Linked DNA regions of Callithrix jacchus. The protein of the gene in region 3 interacts with the protein of the main gene of each other region in a biochemical or structural test. Links are inferred from orthologs where the notes say so. Each region holds a gene or a part of one and is shown on either strand. Other genes may lie near its edges.

What was found. The genes of interacting proteins can lie anywhere in the genome.
Region 1: the proteins of EPS15 (region 3) and FCHO1 form a complex in vitro, tested with the Homo sapiens proteins (2 studies listed by BioGRID). The link is inferred for Callithrix jacchus from reciprocal best matches to the Homo sapiens genes EPS15 and FCHO1.
Region 2: the proteins of EPS15 (region 3) and SGIP1 form a complex in vitro, tested with the Homo sapiens proteins (2 studies listed by BioGRID, with this or other methods). The link is inferred for Callithrix jacchus from reciprocal best matches to the Homo sapiens genes EPS15 and SGIP1.

What each region holds. Positions count from the first base shown.
Region 1 is NC_133523.1:16,511,694-16,517,280, reverse strand, and holds part of FCHO1 (F-BAR domain only protein 1), read right to left. Parts: intron 4,878-5,587; coding exon 4,630-4,877; intron 4,525-4,629; coding exon 4,437-4,524; intron 4,261-4,436; coding exon 4,152-4,260; intron 3,001-4,151; coding exon 2,845-3,000; intron 2,242-2,844; coding exon 2,109-2,241; intron 1,644-2,108; coding exon 1,444-1,643; intron 1-1,443. UniProt on the Homo sapiens protein: Functions in an early step of clathrin-mediated endocytosis. Has both a membrane binding/bending activity and the ability to recruit proteins essential to the formation of functional clathrin-coated pits.
Region 2 is NC_133508.1:103,972,874-103,978,460, forward strand, and holds part of SGIP1 (SH3-containing GRB2-like protein 3-interacting protein 1), read left to right. Parts: intron 1-3,609; coding exon 3,610-3,812; intron 3,813-4,817; coding exon 4,818-4,882; intron 4,883-5,419; coding exon 5,420-5,584; intron 5,585-5,587.
Region 3 is NC_133508.1:88,292,542-88,298,128, forward strand, and holds part of EPS15 (epidermal growth factor receptor substrate 15), read right to left. Parts: intron 2,908-5,587; coding exon 2,704-2,907; intron 242-2,703; exon of another isoform or gene 1-241. UniProt on the Homo sapiens protein: Involved in cell growth regulation. May be involved in the regulation of mitogenic signals and control of cell proliferation. Involved in the internalization of ligand-inducible receptors of the receptor tyrosine kinase (RTK) type, in particular EGFR.

The DNA of each region.
Region 1 (5,587 bases), on a different chromosome or scaffold from region 3:
CGCGCCCAGCCTCCCTGCAGCACTTTTAGATGCATTCTGTCCTATAAATCTGGCTTCTTTACAACAGACACACCTTTTTTTCTTAATTTTTTTTTTTTGAGACAGAGTTTCACCCTCGTTGCCAAAGCTGGAGCACAATGGTGCGATCTCAGCTCACTGCAACCTCTGCCTCCCGGATTCAAGCGATTCTTCTGCCTCCCGGATTCAAGCGATTCTCCTGCCTCAGCATCCTGAGTAGCTGGGGTTACAGGCATGTGCCACCATGCCTGGCTAATTTTTTGTATTTTTAGTAGAAATGGGGTTTTGCCGTATTAACCAGGCTGGTCTCGAACTCCGGACCTCAGGTAATCCGCCCGCCTCGGCCTTCCAAAGTTCTGGGATTGCTGGTGAGAGCCTAATCTTTGTTTTTTAAGAGAGGGTTCTGGCCAGGCACAGTGGCTCACACCTGTAATCCCAGCACTTTGGGAGGCCTAGGTGGGCGGATCACCTGAAGTCAGGAATTCAAGACCAGCCCGACCAACATGGAGAAACCCCATCTCTACTAAAAGTACAAAATTAGCTGGGCGTGGTGGCACATGCCTATAATCCCAGCTACCTGGGAGACTGAGGCAGGAGAATCACTTGAACCTGGGAGGCGGAGGTCGCGGTGAGCTGAGATGGTGCCATTGCACTCCAGCCTGGGCAACAAGAGCGAAACTCTGTCTCAAAAAAAAAAAAAAAAAAAGAGACGGTTGTCACCCAGGCTAAGTCCCTGCAGCCTCAACTCCTGGGCTCAAGCGATCCTTCTGCCTCAGCCTCCCAAGTCGCTGAGACTACAGGAGCACACCACCAAGCCTGACTACTTTTTAAAATATTTTTTGGAAGGCGGGTGCAGTGGCTCATGCCTGTAATCCCAGTACTTTGGATTTGGGAGGCTGAGGTGGGTGGATCACCTGAGGTTAGGGGTTCGAGATCAGACTGGGCAACATAGTGAAATGCTGTCTCTACTAAAAAAATACAAAAATTAGCTGGGTGAGGTGGCAGGCACCTGTAATCCCAGCTACTCGGGAGGTGAGTCACTTGAACCTGGGAGGCGGAGGTCGCAGTGAGCTGAGATCCCGCCATTGCGCTCCAGCCTGGGTGACAGAGCAAGACTCCATCTCAAAATAAATAAATTAATAAAACGAAAATGTTTTCTGTAGAGATGAGGTCTCACTATATTGTCCAGGCTGGTCTCAAACTCCTGGCCTTAAGTGAACCTCCCATCTCAGCCTCCCAAAGCATTGCAAATACAGGCATGACCCACGGCACCTGGCCCTCATAACATCACCCTCAGTGCTAAGCAGGGTGGAATCACCAGTGAAGGGTCGGGCCCAGAGTGCACCCTTTAACCGTCATCAAGAGGAAGGTCTGGGCTTATGGGGGAAACTGCTGAGTTTTCCTTGGCCTCCCGCACGCCCTCACCAGGTGGCGGCTGGCTGCAGGCGGACGTTGGTCACAGGCTCCCCCACGGGCAGCAGGATCTGGACGTTCGTGAGTGGTGTGGGCACAGCTGTGGCACCGGGCCGGTAGCCATAGTCCACCGAGACCTGGGTGAGGGTGGCCCCACACTGCCAGTGGGCACTGAGCTGCAGAGGCACAGACTGGGGACCCGGGCGGGAGAACTACGAGGAATCAGAACAGGAGAGAGCACATGGTTTGGGCCATCTCGTCTTGCCACACACGCCCTATTCAACCACCTTGACCCCGCGATGCACGCACACCCTGCCCCAAGACAGCCCAGTCACAGGGAGATTTGACGGATGAGAGGCTGTATTACACCAGGTTTCCAGCAGGGGGCAGGAGAGCACATCGTTCTAAGAAAAGTCTCCCAAGGAAGTTCAAGGGCAAGGTTCCCTGGCTGGGCCTCTTCTAGTTCACATAATGAAGGTATCTGCCACAGGGGACACACGCCCTCCCACCCTGACTCCATCCACCGTTCGTTCCCAACCCACCCTGCCTACACACTCCAGCTCATCGGCTCTCACAGGTTGGTGTTCGAGACCAGCTTGGCCAACATGCAGGCACTTCCAAGTCGGCTGCTCACCCCACCCCACTCCACCTGCTCCCGGCCCGTGTGCGTGGCGTACCTGGTATCGCAGCAGCACCACGTTGTAGTAGGAGGCGGTGGGGTTCTGCTCTGCCTGGCGCTGCAGGGCCTCGGTCAGAGCTGCCATATTGAGCCAGAAGTCTTTGGTCTCAGGGTCACTCTGGGAGGGGTCACTGCAGAGACCGGGACTGATCACCCCAACCCTAGGAGATGCCCTCCCAGGGCTCTCAACATCAAACTACCCCAAGCACTTCCTAAAGATGCCGTTTCCTGGCCCACCAAAGCCCTACCTGGGTGGCAGTGGTGGGGGCAGTAAAAGAGGGATGGAAAACCAGGGTCAGAGAGGGCAAGTTACTTGCCCCAGGCCACACAGCAAATCCAAGGAGGCTGCTGAGCGCTGTGACTCACACCTGTAATCCCTGCACTTTGGGAGGCCCAGGCGGGCAGATCACAAGGTCGGGAGTTTGAGACAGTGTGACCAACATGGTGAAACCCTGTCTCTACTAAAAATACAAAAATTAGCTGGGTGTGGTGGCGCACGCCTGTAATCCCAGCTACTCGGGAGGCTGAGGCAGAAGAATCGCTTGAACCCAGGAGGCGGAGGTTGCAGTGAGCTGAGATCTCACCATTGCACTCCAGCTGGGGCAACAGAGCGAGACTCTGTCTCAAAAAAAAAAAAAAAAAAAAAATCCCAGGGGCAGAGAGGGAATTCAGAGCCCAGAAGCCCCTGACCCCAGTAGCCTCTGTGGCCCTCTCCCACCTCCCATCTGCTGTACCTGAAGAGCAGCTCGGCATTGGGTTGGAAGTGTTCTATAGGAGCCGTGTGTACAAGCCGGAAGCTGAGGACAGGTGGGGGCGGGGTCCCGCTGAACACACGCACGATGCCAGCAGGGAAGGTCATGGTCAGCTCCCCAGTTACTCGAGCCAGGCAGCTGGGGAGGGTAGAGGGACTGGGCGTTGGCTTAGAGCTCTGCCTGGTGTCTCATCCTCCCCTGCTCCTGGTTCCACTGCTGCCTGTGGCTCCCCAGACCCCTTGGATCTAGGATGGCCCTGAGGATGCCCCATGTCCTTTGCCCTAACTTCCTCCTCTTTTGTTCCTGCCTAGACAGGAAGAATCCACCCTGGGCTGAAGGAGGCAGGAACATCTCCTTCCCTAGCTCTTTTCTCCTAGGCCACCAGGAAGCTCAAATTAAAATGTTCAGTTTTTTAGCTGTTGTCTGCTTGGGTTTTCGATCTGACACTCACCTCTTCTTCCTGGTTTGACTTTCAGATCTTTTTTGCTGAAGGCCATCCTAGTATATATCCTTGGCCCCTCTGCTTTTCCCTAACCCACCTTCTAACCCCCGTTACTGCGACTAACTAGTCTTGGTCTCTTCATTGAAATGCACATGGCAGCCTCGAGACTACAGTAATGCCTAGCCCTGCTCAAATGCCCTCCTATGGCCAGGTGTGGCGGCTCATGCCTGTAATCCCAGCACTTTGGAAGGCTGAGACGAGCTGATCACTTGAAGTCAGGAGTTCAAGACCAGCCTGGCCAACACGGTGAAACCCTGTCTCTACTAAAAATACAAAATTAGCTGGGCGTGGTGGTTGGTGCCTGTAATCTCAGCTCCTTGGGAGGCTGAGGCAGGAGAATCGCTTGAACCCAGGAGGCAGAGGTGGCAGTGAGCTGAGATCACGCCACTGCACTCCAGCCTGAGCGACAGAGTGAGACCCTGTCTCAAAACAAACAAAAAATTTAAAAATTGAGTCAGCTGCGTTGGTGGGCACCTGTAGTTCCAGCTACGTGGGAGGCTGAGGCAGGAGAATCACTTGAACCCGGGAGGCAGAGGTTGTGGTGAACTGAGATCATGCCACTACACTCCAGCCTGGGCGACAAGAGTGAAAGTCTATCTCAAAAAAAAAAAAAGGCCCTCCCTGGCTCCATTGCCCTTAGGACATGGACATGGGGGCCTGGTCACTTGGCTCAGTGTTTAAGGCGTTTCATCATAAGACAGGCCATGAAGCACATCTGAAAGCTGTCCCTGCTGGATGCCCCCCAACACAGACCCCCCACGGGCCCTGTCTGCCCATTACCGTGTACCTGGGGCTGTGGCCACGGAAGTAGGCGTGGACATACTCCGTGAAGGCTGTGGCTACCGGCAGGGCATCCTGGGAGCCCAGGACCACAGGGCTCGGACCCCGGGAGACTCCTGGGGGTGGCGGGGAGGGAATGGGGGACAGAAAGACGGGGTGAAGAGAGGCCTCAGGCTCGAGACCCGCCCCCACCTCCGCCCCACCACACCTGTGCCAACAGAGAAGCTACCCACCCGAACCACAGAAGGTGAGACTGAGGCCCAAGGCAGGGCCCAGGCCCACCCTCACGTACCGTGTCCTGTCTGGGATGAGAAGCAGGGCCGTTCTGGGCCAGTGCTGGGGGCCGAAGAGCCCAGTGGGGAAGGGCTCAGGGAACGAGACTGGAAGGGAAAGAGACAAGCTGGGCTGTGGGTTCCCAGGAGCGGTGCCCAAAGCTGACCCCAGAGGCGCCCCACAGCCCAGCTCCTGCCAGGCCCCTCACCTACCAGGTCCCCGTTGCTGCGTGTGAGAGGGCAGGACACCTTCCTAGAGCGAAGTCTCCTGGGTGGGGCTGCCAGGCCCTCCCTGGCTGTGGGGTCAGCAGGTGCGGGCATCAGGTCTGGGAGCGATTGCACAGAGGCACTGCTGAGATGCTGCCTGGGGCCTCTGAGGCCTTCCCAGGGGCACGAACTCAGCCAAAATCTAGGAGGTGGGCTTTTCTGTGGAGACCCCCGATGGGTCTGAAATCCTGGGGCTGCAGAAAAGGTGCCAGACAGGACTGCAGGTACCATCCATACCCCTGAACCTCCCAGACACCAGAATGGTGGCTGAATAAGGGGTGAGCTCCCCGTCACTGGGGGTATGCAAGCAAGCACTGAAGGCTTAGGAGGCAGGCATGCTGTAGGGTTCAGCAGAGGATTTTTAGCCAACATTCACCCATTCTGTGATCTCCATCCTCTCTGAGAACCTGACCACAGCCACCTACGGTGGCCTGTGTCTGAGTTCCACGAGTTTATAACACCCAAGCTCCCCTCCCTCTCCTGCTTCCTTGGGGTCCTAGTTTTCTGTTCCATCTATGAACATGCTCACTCGCTTGCCTACCTCCTCTCCCACCTACCTCCCTGCACCGCAGGCTGTGCTCCCCCCTCTACCCTACTTTCTCAGTCAGCACTGTGGACATCTGGGGGCTGAACCATTCTCGGGGGGTGGAGGCTGCCCTGTGCACTGCAGGGTGCTGAGCAGCAACCCCAGCCTCCACCCACTGAAGCCGGGAGCACACCCCTGCCTGGTGGTGACAACCAAAAATGTCTCTAGACACTGACAATGCCCCCTGGGGGCAGAATTGGCCGGGTTGGATAAGACCCTCTGCTCAGGCGGAGCATGGTGGCTCACGCCTCTAATCCCAACACTTTGGGAGGTTGAGGCAGGCAGATCACCAGTGGTCAGGAGTTCGAGACCAGCCTG
Region 2 (5,587 bases), about 16 Mb from region 3:
TCCATCTCTAGAATTTGTTCCTCCCATCTAACTGAAATTTTGTGTCCTTTGACCAACATCTCCCCAAACAAATCCCCACGCCCACCACTGCCACCACCTCAGCCTCTGGCAACTGCCATTCTACTCTCTAATGCTATAAGATCAACTTTTATTTTTATTTTGTTTTATTTAGTTAGTTATCTGAGACAAAGTCTCACTCTGTTGCCCAAGCTGGAGTGCAGTGGCACAATCTTGCCTTATAGCAACCTCCACCTCCCAGGTTCAAACAATTCTCCTGCCTCAGCCTCCCATTTAGCTGGGATTACAGGCATGCATCACCATGCCTGGCTAATTTTTGTATTTACAGTAGAGATGGGGTTTCGCCATGTTGGCCAGGCTGGTCTCAAACTCCTGGCCTCAGGTGATCCACCCACCTCGGCCTCCCAAAGCGCCACTGTGCCCAGCCAAGATCAATTTTTAAATATTTCACATAAGAGTGAGAGCGTGTGGTATTGGTCTTTCTGTGCCTGGATTATTTCATTTACCTTATTTTTAATGCATTATAATTTTTTATTAAATATGTTCAGATTATTTTTCTTAAAATAAAGAAACTAATACTTTAATAAAAATTAGGGTATCTCAAACTTGGCTGTATTTCTCAATCACCAAGGAATTAAATGCTTGTAATTAAATGCTGGTTCTGAATTGATGCTAAAAAGAAATATATATATGTATATATATATATAGTTAAATATAATATTGATAACATAGATTATATGATTACATTATATAATTATATATAGTATATTATATAATTACATTAGGTGTTATATTGTATGTTATATATAAATATTATATAATATATAATATATCATGTGTTATAAATAAATATATAATGTATATATTATTAAAATAAATATTTATTTAGATTATTTAAAGATAATATGTTATTTATATATATATTTATATATTTATATATGTGTGGTGTTAGGGCCTAGCAGATATATATATATATTAAATATACATATATTTTATTTTATTGGCTTAGAATGCAACCCAGGTATTTGTACTTTATACAAGTTCCTCAAGAGATTTTATGTATCCTATGCTTTGAAATACATTTATTTAAAATGTTGTAAGGAAACCATTTAAAGTAAAATATCTACATAATGGTACATTTTTCAAAAATGCAAAAGAATATAATTTTTTCTTCTGAGAATAGTATCTACTCTTTGAACGTTATGGATAACACTAATATATAATATGGCATAAATTCACTTATAAATTAAAATATAATAGAAAATACATTATATTTAGTTTTTTTCCAAAATATTTAAATATGCTTAGTGAGAAATGAAAGGAAATAAGAGAGGAAAATTCTAAATGGGATTTTTTTCTCTGAATGCGAAGTTAAATTCCAAGGCAGAAGGCAAATTTCATGCATGGTTTGTATCCCCAAAGTGTGGAAATAGGATGGCAGTTCTTCACCTTCGTGGACTCTAATTATATACACTGCATGTACATTTTCACTTCAGATAAAATGTTTGTTTGAAATTTTAAAACCCTGTGGAGTTGTTTTTATTTCTGTGTTTGTTATTAAGTAAATCTAGAAAGTAGATAGAATTCACCTATTGCAGTATGCACTTTGTGTAAAGTGTTAAAATGTAGGCAAGGTCCAGGTGTAGTACTAAAATGTAGGCAAGGTCTGGAATTACACCTGTAATCCTAGCACTGTGGGAGGCTGAGGCAGGAGGATCACTTGAGTCCAGGAGTTTGAGACCAGCTTTGGCAACATAGGGAGACCCCATCTCTATTTTTCTTAATAAATAAATAAAGTGTAAGCAAGATACTGAATTCTAAAATTAAGTCAGCTTTCTACTGGCCACTGACCTTGATTGCTTTATATCCCAGAACCTCAGTTTCCTCATCTAAGGGTAATAATGATATCTACCTATTTTATAGGTTGCTATAAGAAGCTAATAGCTTCAAAGTACTTTATGAAACGTAAACAGCCCTAGACTGGCTGTTTTATTTTAACATGTGCTCTGAAGAATTCATTTGCTGTTGCTTACCTGTCTTTTTGTTGTTGTTTTCAACAATGCAAGGAATTGGGTGGAGAAGCACAACCAGCATTTTGTGGAATTGCCCTTAAATTGCAGCGTGTTTAGTTTCTGGCCCCATAGCATGCCCCCAGAAATTGGAACAATCAAAAACACATTTTCATATACCCAAAAAGCACCTCCCCAGGTAGAGGAAGTATAATCAGGTTGAGAACTACCACTGAGGACAGAGTCCAGAAAATGGGGTGTGGGAGGGAGATTGCTCTGCTTTTGATCCGCTGTAGTTAATTGATTTTTAAATAAATGTTTGTCTGCAGAAAGTATTATGCTGCCAATAATATTTAAAGTTTAAAAACTATAATGGTTAACTAGTTTAAACTGTCATCAAAAGCCATATCTTTCATTTTATAAAAGAATCCATTTTGGGTCTTGTTTCTGCCACGACCACTCCTGCCTTGAAAGTTCAACCTGCCTTCAGGACCCTTCTCCATGGCGACCATATGCACAAGCATTTCCTAGACAGCCGTTTAAATCCTTCAAAATCAGCAAAGCTCATCATACTCCATGAATAAAAATCCCAGGGCATAGATACCACTCATCTGATCCCTGCAGAGATCCCTGCAAGAGAGGTGACTCTTGGAGACTTATTTGCCGCCATAATGAACAATCGAGAAATTGTAACACTGTAAATTTTTCACGGTGGACCCAGAATTCACAACAATATTATTGCCTTTAGATGAATGTTTGTTTTTTTCTTCAAACCCGGTGGGGTTTTTTTTTTTTTTTAATAAGACAAGCTCACAGATTATTCTAATTAGTATTGACAGTAGATTCTTGCATTGTAGCACTTTCAGCTAGAGGAATCCCAAAGGAAGTAAAGGAAGTAAATGCCTTTGGGATTTGCCACAGTAAGGACTTGAAACCAGGTGTAAAATTCCAAGGGAGTAATAATAACCTACCCTAGTCTAGCTCATTGGTTTGTTGTTGAAGAGCAAATATGGTAAGAATATTAAAAGTAACACTTACCAAAATGTAATTCCTTAGTGTGTGCCGGGCATCCTGCTGAGTGTTTCACAAAAAAACATCTCCTTCAATCTTCCTGACAACCCCGTGGGTAAATATTATTGTTCTAATTCCCATTTAGCAAATGAGGAAAGAACAGAAGCTCAGAGAGGTTTAGGAACTTGTCCAAGATCACTTAGCTTGTAAGTGGAATGGCAGAATCAGAACTCACACTCGCAACTGTCTAGCTTCTCGGCCTTAGCTCCTGGCCGGCCTGCTAGTCCACCTCCTTAACTGACATGAAGTGTATTGGAAACTCCAAAGTGCTACAGAGACTCTCATAGCTGCTTTCGTGTTTTTAGTCTGTAATGGTTTACCTGAAGCACCCAGCTCTCTCTCACAGCACCCGTCATGGTGCCTCTCACTCATGGTTGCTTGTGAGCAGCATAAAAAACATTATGACATTTTAATATCTAAGAACATTCCTGTGGGAGAAAATCATAACTTCTGGTCTTGTTTCAGATTATTGGTTGAACCTTTAATATTCTCTTTCCTGTCATTTGGCAAGGTGTCTGCCCAGGGTATTCAGTCCACGCCTCTGAACCTGGCAGTGAATTGGCGATGTGAGCTTGCAAGCACTGACCTGCGCATAGATTACAAATACAACACAGATGCAATGTCGACCGCTGTGGCCCTCAACAATGTGCAGTTCCTGGTCCCCATCGACGGAGGTGTAACCAAGCTCCAGGCAGTGCTCCCACCAGCAGTCTGGTATGAAGCCTTCTATTCTCTCAACTGGGGGGGCTCCTCTGGGTCGACGGATCATGTTTCTTAGCTCTTGTGTTTCCTGTAGGAGGGGTGACAGCAGTCCTGTGTATTGGAGTTCAGGGCAGAAAGTAGAAACCGCTGGTATCTATTTGAAGCAAAAACTAATTCAACAGGGACTTCAATGCTTACATAATGGTGGAAGTGCGAAAGGAATAGGCTGGATCTCTAAACATACCTTCCAGACCTCTGCCAAACTGGCCTGCCACAATCCGGGGACAGAGAGAAATTAGAAGGCTTCCTTTAGAACCACTGAATTCAAGAAGCCAGAGCTGTAACTCTGATCCTAGGACCAGCAAGAACCTATTGGCACCTCCTTAAGTGCTTCTCGGCACCCCCAAACCAGAGGCTAGAGTGGAATCTAGGACCTAATTTGTACCTAGGACCCTAACTGCAAAGGCCTCTGAGAAATGTAGTGTTTCATTTTCTAGCCTCTGAACCATAAAAGCACACTAGAGAAGGCAAGGTTCTAGAAACTGAACAGATTCATTGTGCCTATATCATCTGTTATAAAGGACTTGTTCTAGAAAGAGCATTTCATTTTTTCCATATGACTGTCAGAAGCAAAAAGTAGAATTCGTTTTAAAGATGAATGTCAGCTAGATCATGACCCCAATTTTAATTACCTTAATTAGTTGATTAACTAATACTCTCATTTATCTTCCCATGGATCTGTTTTAGCAGATTATATGAAAAAACTCATTTAACTCTACTTTGTCCTCTAAATATATGTCTCATGGTGTTCTAGCTATTTACAGTAAGGTCAGGGAAAAGAGAGATTTATGTATGTCTGGGAGGGGAGAGAGAGAGAGAGAGAGAGAGAATTTTTAAATTGTAGTTAAACTTTTCAAGATCTAGTTTTTAAAATTAATACTATCCAGAAAAAAAACATGGCATCGGTAAACAAAAACCCTTGCATATGCAAAAACTTTTTACCTAATTTATTTTTAGGAATGCTGAACAACAAAGAATATTGTGGAAGATTCCTGATATCTCTCAGAAGTCAGAAAATGGAGGTAATGAAATCACAAGCTTATTTTATTTAACATGTAAAACTAAAATAGCTTTTAGGTATTTGCCAACTATTACCCAAAACATGTAGCAATAAAAACAAACAGAATATTTCACTCCATTTTTGCATTTTCTTATTTCGATTAATAAAAGCAAAAAATTCTTCAGTGAATTCTCTTTTTCGTTTTCTATAGACTCCATATCAAACAAACTATTGTTCAGGCCTCTTAAGGAGTCATGTTTCCATCTTGTGTCAGATTCCACACTCCCGGATTAGATATTTTTCACTCTCCTCAGATATTAATTATAGGTTGGAAATTACAAGGGCCCCAAGTAGCACATCTTCAAATTTTGAGGTACCATCTAAAGGAAGTAGACTGTTACCAGTGTGCAAATCGAATTGCTCATAATATTCAGTGATAAATTTCATTTAATCACCGTTTTGTCAATAAAGTCTGATTTTGTAGTTCTTTTGAATGCAATGTCCAAAATTACATCCAGAATATTATGTTGACTGTTACCTTGTAATACTTTTTTTTTAGGGGTGGGTTCTTTGTTGGCAAGATTTCAGTTATCAGAAGGCCCAAGCAAACCTTCTCCGTTAGTTGTGCAGTTCACAAGTGAAGGAAGCACCCTTTCTGGCTGTGACATTGAACTTGTTGGAGCAGGGTATCGATTTTCACTCATCAAGAAAAGATTTGCTGCAGGTA
Region 3 (5,587 bases):
GACAGTGGTACGTGCCTGATGAAAGTTTGGACCAGGGTCCTCTAGAGAACAGTTCTGGAGATCTAGCCCCAAGATGGTCTCCTTCTGATTCAGGTAGCAATGTGCATGCAGCATTAGCTCTCGTGTCGTTTTACAACAAAGGGCCACTTTGGACAAATTTTGCACACTCCTGGCACACTGGGTGCATATCTGGCTAGGCAGGGTCGGAAAGCGTCAGGGACGAAATCAGAGCTGCAGGTCAGCAGAGGGGAAGGGGGAACCATAGGCAAGCACGACGCGTGGCTGGCCATCAACCCTGCTTCAGCTTGACCTCAATCTTGCTTCTGTACCTCGGGTAGCACCAGAGCCCTTTCCATGCCCAGAGCAAGGAACAGGGCAGCAGCCCAGAGCACCAGGATTGTAAGATTACCCAACCTGCGAGGCACCATTTTCCGTGGTCTATAATCTTTTTTAGGGAAATGGTGTCATCAAGCATCAAAGTCACTCATGTCAGAAACCTTCAGGTCATCTTTAACCCCCAGTTAGAATAAGACTCCAAGTCTTGCTCAGTCTACCTCCTACTTCTTTTTCAAATCCTTGCCTCTTCTCCATCCTCACTGACACTATCAATCACTGACAGTATCATCATCTTTGGTTCCAATTAATAGAGCAGTCTTCCTTCCAACTGCCTTCCTGCCTCCAATATGTGCCCTTCCAATCTCTTCTTATTATTATAGCCAAACCAATAGCTCTAAAACGTGGATGTGATTGTGACCCTTCTGGTTAAAAGTCCTTCAGTGGCTTCCCATTGTCTTCTTCATTTAGAACAGTGGGTGAGAGACTTAAGAAGTAGTAGGGGCAATATCTATTTCATACAGCCCTTATTTGTTTCAAGGATAACCAAGTAATCTGCCTTTCGTGGCTGAAAGAATATTGTATAATACATGACTGCACTGTCTAAATAAGATCAAGTCTGTTAACTTTTCACTTTTAATATCTCTCAGACTTCTTCTCATTATCCCTCCTGTTACTGCTTAAGTTTAGGCTAAAACAACTCTCACACAGACTATTCCAACATACCTCTATGGATACAGTCTCACTCTCTAATCCATTTTCCACATTTCTAATAGTTTAATCACATCACTTCTTGCTTAAAATTCTTCAATGGCTATTCAGTGCAGTAGGATAAATCCCCCAATGCTTTAAGATGAATCCAAATTTCTCACCTTCTGGCACTTTCTGACCTAAAAGTCATTTTTATCCAGGTACACGTGACAATCACCCATAGGGTGTCTTACTTTTTTTTTTTTTTTTTTTGAGATGGAGTCGTGCACTGTCACCTAGGTTGGAATGTAGTGGTGCAATCCTGGCTCACTGCAACCTCCGCCTCACAGGTTAAGCAATTCTCCTTGCCTCAGCCTCCCAAGTAGCTGGGATTACAGGGGCCCACCACCACACCTGGCTAATTTTTTTGTATGTTTAGTAGAGACAGGGTTTCACCATGTTGGCCAGACTGATCTCAAACTCCTGACCTTGTCATCCACCTACCTCGGCCTCCCAAAGTGCTGGGATTACAGGCATGAGCCACTAGGCCCAGCAGGATGTGTTTTTAAAATATACATATTTAGCTCTATCCCAGAAACTAGTTCAACAAGTTTGGAAAAGGGATACACATCTATACTTTGATAAGCAACAGAGGTAATGCAGATATCCACTAGGAACACCTCATCTCTTACCAATACCCTCTCCACAATCACAAGATATCCTTCAGAACTTCTCAAGATTCTGTGCTGCATGTATTCGTCTACCTTGTAACTATACTAATACTGTTTTCTCTGGCAGGAGTGTACCTCTTCTTTGCTTAACCCATTCTCACTTGTCAAACCTCACTTGCAAAGCTTTCCCCCAACAAAATCTGTATGAGCCCCCAACAAAATCTGTATGAGCCCCCTCAAACTGTCCTACCTAAAAATTCTGTACTTCCTTTAGCACAGCCCTTTAACACAGCATTACACTACTACACCGTTTGCTGCTTGAAGGAAAGATTAAAGTCTCTTGTCTATGTTGCTCTTGTATTATATAATACAGCACTCTTGCACATAGTTGGTACTCTGCAAAAAATTGGTAAATGAATGTCCTCAACGCTACATAATAAAAAATTATTTTAGTTTTGGGTAAGGGTACTTAAAAAAAAGTTTTACTCTACAGAAATACTATTTTAAAAACAGGCTCTATAAAAAATAAATCAGCTGGCTGGGCACAGTGGCTCATGCTCATAATCCCTGCACTTTGGAAGGTCGAAGCAGGTGGGTTATCTGAGGTCAGGAGTTTGAGACCAGCCTGGCCAACATGATGAAACCCAGTTTCTACTAAAAATACAAAAGATCAGCTGGGCATGGTGGTGCATGCCTATAATCCCAGCTACTCAGGAGGCTGAGGCAGGATAATCACTTGAACCTGGGAGGTGGAGGTTGCAGTGGGCCGAGGTAGCACCACTGCACTCCAGCCTGGGCAACAAGAGCAAAACTCCATCACAAAAAAAAACAACAACCAATTTTCATACTAATTAAAATGTATAATAGTTGAATTAGAACCCTTTCTCTGCCTCTTATGAAGAAATCTCAAGTGTCCTCAGATGAGGCATAGTCACATATTATACTAGATAAAATGCCAATGAAATTTTGATCTGCCCAAGGAGATTCATTATGAAAGTATTAGACTTACTGGAGATTCCTGGTGTATGGGCTCAGACTCTAGGTTGCTCTGGCCTTCAGCATGTTCATTAAGGTTGGCTGTTTCACTGCTGCTGGTGCTGAGGCTGCAATAATCTGTAGCTCCATTTACAAGAATGCTGTGTGGGCTACTGCACCAATTTAACTGATTATTATGATTTTCTAAATCTTTAATTTCCATCAGTTTCATTTGTATCTGCCAACACAAAGCAAAAATACAGAATAGAATTTATTACTAGAAAGACATGTAACACAAAAATGCCCTCCTCCACTTCCTGATGGGGTAGGTGTGGTAGCTAAAGCCTGAAATCCCAATATTTTGGGAAGCTGAGGCAGGAGGACTGCTTCAGCCCAGTTGTTCAAGACCAGCCTGAGCAACAAGGTGAAACCTCATTTCTACAATAAATATAAAAATCAGCTGGGCATGGTGGAGTGCACCTATAGTCCCAGCTACTCAGGAGGCTGAGGTGGGAAGATCACTTGAGCTCAGAGGTCAAGGCTGCAGTGAGCCATGATCACACCACTGCACTCCTGACTGACAGAATGAGACCCTGTCTCAAAAAAATAAAATAAAAATGGCTATACCTGTAGACTTGGTCAATGATACACTTGCTTCCTTTAAGAAGAATCCTCTGGGAATGCTACATGACTTAGAGGAAAGACTCAATAATTTCTAACAATAAGCATTCCTCTCTTGAGATTCTAGTATACTTGGATTTTTTTTTTAAAGAAATTAAGAAAAAGAAAATAGTTTAAAGAATACCCATTCATCTGGTAGCATTCTCACTACAATAACTCTTTCAGGTTACCTGTTAATAAAGTAAGTACCTACACTGGGACAAGAACTGTGCTAAAATGATAGGAATTTTTAAAAATGTGTAAGTTTCTGGACCAAAAATGTCAGTCTGCTAGGGTAGATAGACATATAAGCAAATATGCAGGGAAAAACCTTATTATTGCTATAACAGAAATATAAAGCCCAACAAAGGCAGGACGAAGAAAATACCATAAAGAATAAGAAGTTAGAGGGAACGATCCAAGATGGCCGATCGCTAACATCCCGGGATTGCAGCTCTCAGGGAAGGCGCGGAGAACTAGAGGACGCCACACTTTAAGACAAAGTCTGGTCGCTCACGGAGCAGAAGATCCCCCAGTGGTGGAAACACACGAGTCGCTAGCGCGACTCTCGTGGTAGGCGCAGCGGTTCCGCCGGCACCTGGACGCAGCAGCGCTCGGCACAGAGTAAACGGGACCGGTTCCCCTTCTGACCGAGGTTTGGAGCCCCGGGAAGGCAGAGTCGCCTACTACGGAAACAAAAAGGAAGCCCGACAGGAGAATCCTGGGCAGAAAAGCACCATCAGTTTTAACGCCGCTGCTCTGGCCCTGGGAACTAACAACCTGGACGTCCACTCAAGAGACCTAATCTGAAAATTGGTAATTTCAAAGACGACAGGAGGATAAATTTACAATGACGGGAAGAAACCAGCGTAAAAAAGCTGAGAATACTCAAAGTCAGAACGCCTCTCCCTCTAAAGATGATCACAGTTCCACATCAACAATGGAACAAGGCTTGATGGAGAACGAGCGCCTCCTGATGACAGAATCACTCTTCAAGGAATGGATAATAACAAACTTCGGTGAGTTAAAAGAACATGTTGTAGCCCAACGTAAAGAAACTAGGAACTTTGAAAAAAGGTTTGATGAAATCCTATTGAGAATAGACAACTTAGAGAGGAGTATGAGTGAATTAATGGAACTGAAGAATACAATACAGGAACTCCGAGAAGTATGCACAGGTTTAAACACTCGAATTGTTCAAGCAGAAGAAGGGATATCAGAGGTCAAAGTCCAACTTAATGAAATAAAACGTGAAGAAAAGATTAGAGAAAAAAGGATAAAAAGGAATGAGCAAAGTCTCCAAGAAATGTGGGACTATGTGAAAAGACCAAATTTACGTTTGATAGGTGTACCTGAATGCGACGGAGAGAATGAATCCAAGCTGGAAAATACCCTTCAGGATATTATTCAGGAAAATTTTCCTAAACTAGCAAAGCAGGTCAACATTCAACCCCAGGTAATACAGAGAACACCACAAAGATATTCCTCAAGAAGAGCAACCCCAAGGCACATAATCGTTAGATTCACCAGGGTTGAAACGAAGGAGAGGATACTAAGGGCAGCCAGAGAGAAAGGTCAGATTACCCACAAAGGCAAGCCAATCAGACTTACAGCAGATCTCTCGGCAGAAACTCTACAGGCCAGAAGAGAGTGGGGGCCAATATTCAACATCCTCAAAGAACAGAACCTTCAGCCCAGAATTTCACATCCAGCCAAACTAAGCTTCACAACTGAAGGAAAAATAAAATCTTTTATGAACAAGCAAGAACTCAGAGATTTTATTACCACCAGGCCTGCTTTACAAGAGCTTCTGAAAGAAGCATTACACACAGAAAGAAACAACCAGTATTAGCCTTTCTAAAAATACACCAAAAAGTAAAGAGCACCAACATAAAGAAGAATTTACACCAACAAATGGATAAAACAGCCAGTCAACATCAAATGGCAGTAACCCTAAATTTAAATTGACTGAATTCCCAATCAAAAGACACAGCCAAAACCCAATGGCATGTTACATCCAGACCTGTTTCACATGCAAGGATACACAAAGACTCAAAACAAAGGGATGGAGAAAGATTTACCAACCAAATGGAGAGCAAAAATAAATAATAAATAAATAAAAAGCAGGAGTTGCAATTCTTGTATCGGATAAAATAGATTTTAAAGTAACAAAGATATAGTGGTAAAAGGATCAATGCAACAACAAGAGCTAACGATCCTAACACCCAGATAGGAGACTTAGATTCAATGAGACAGAA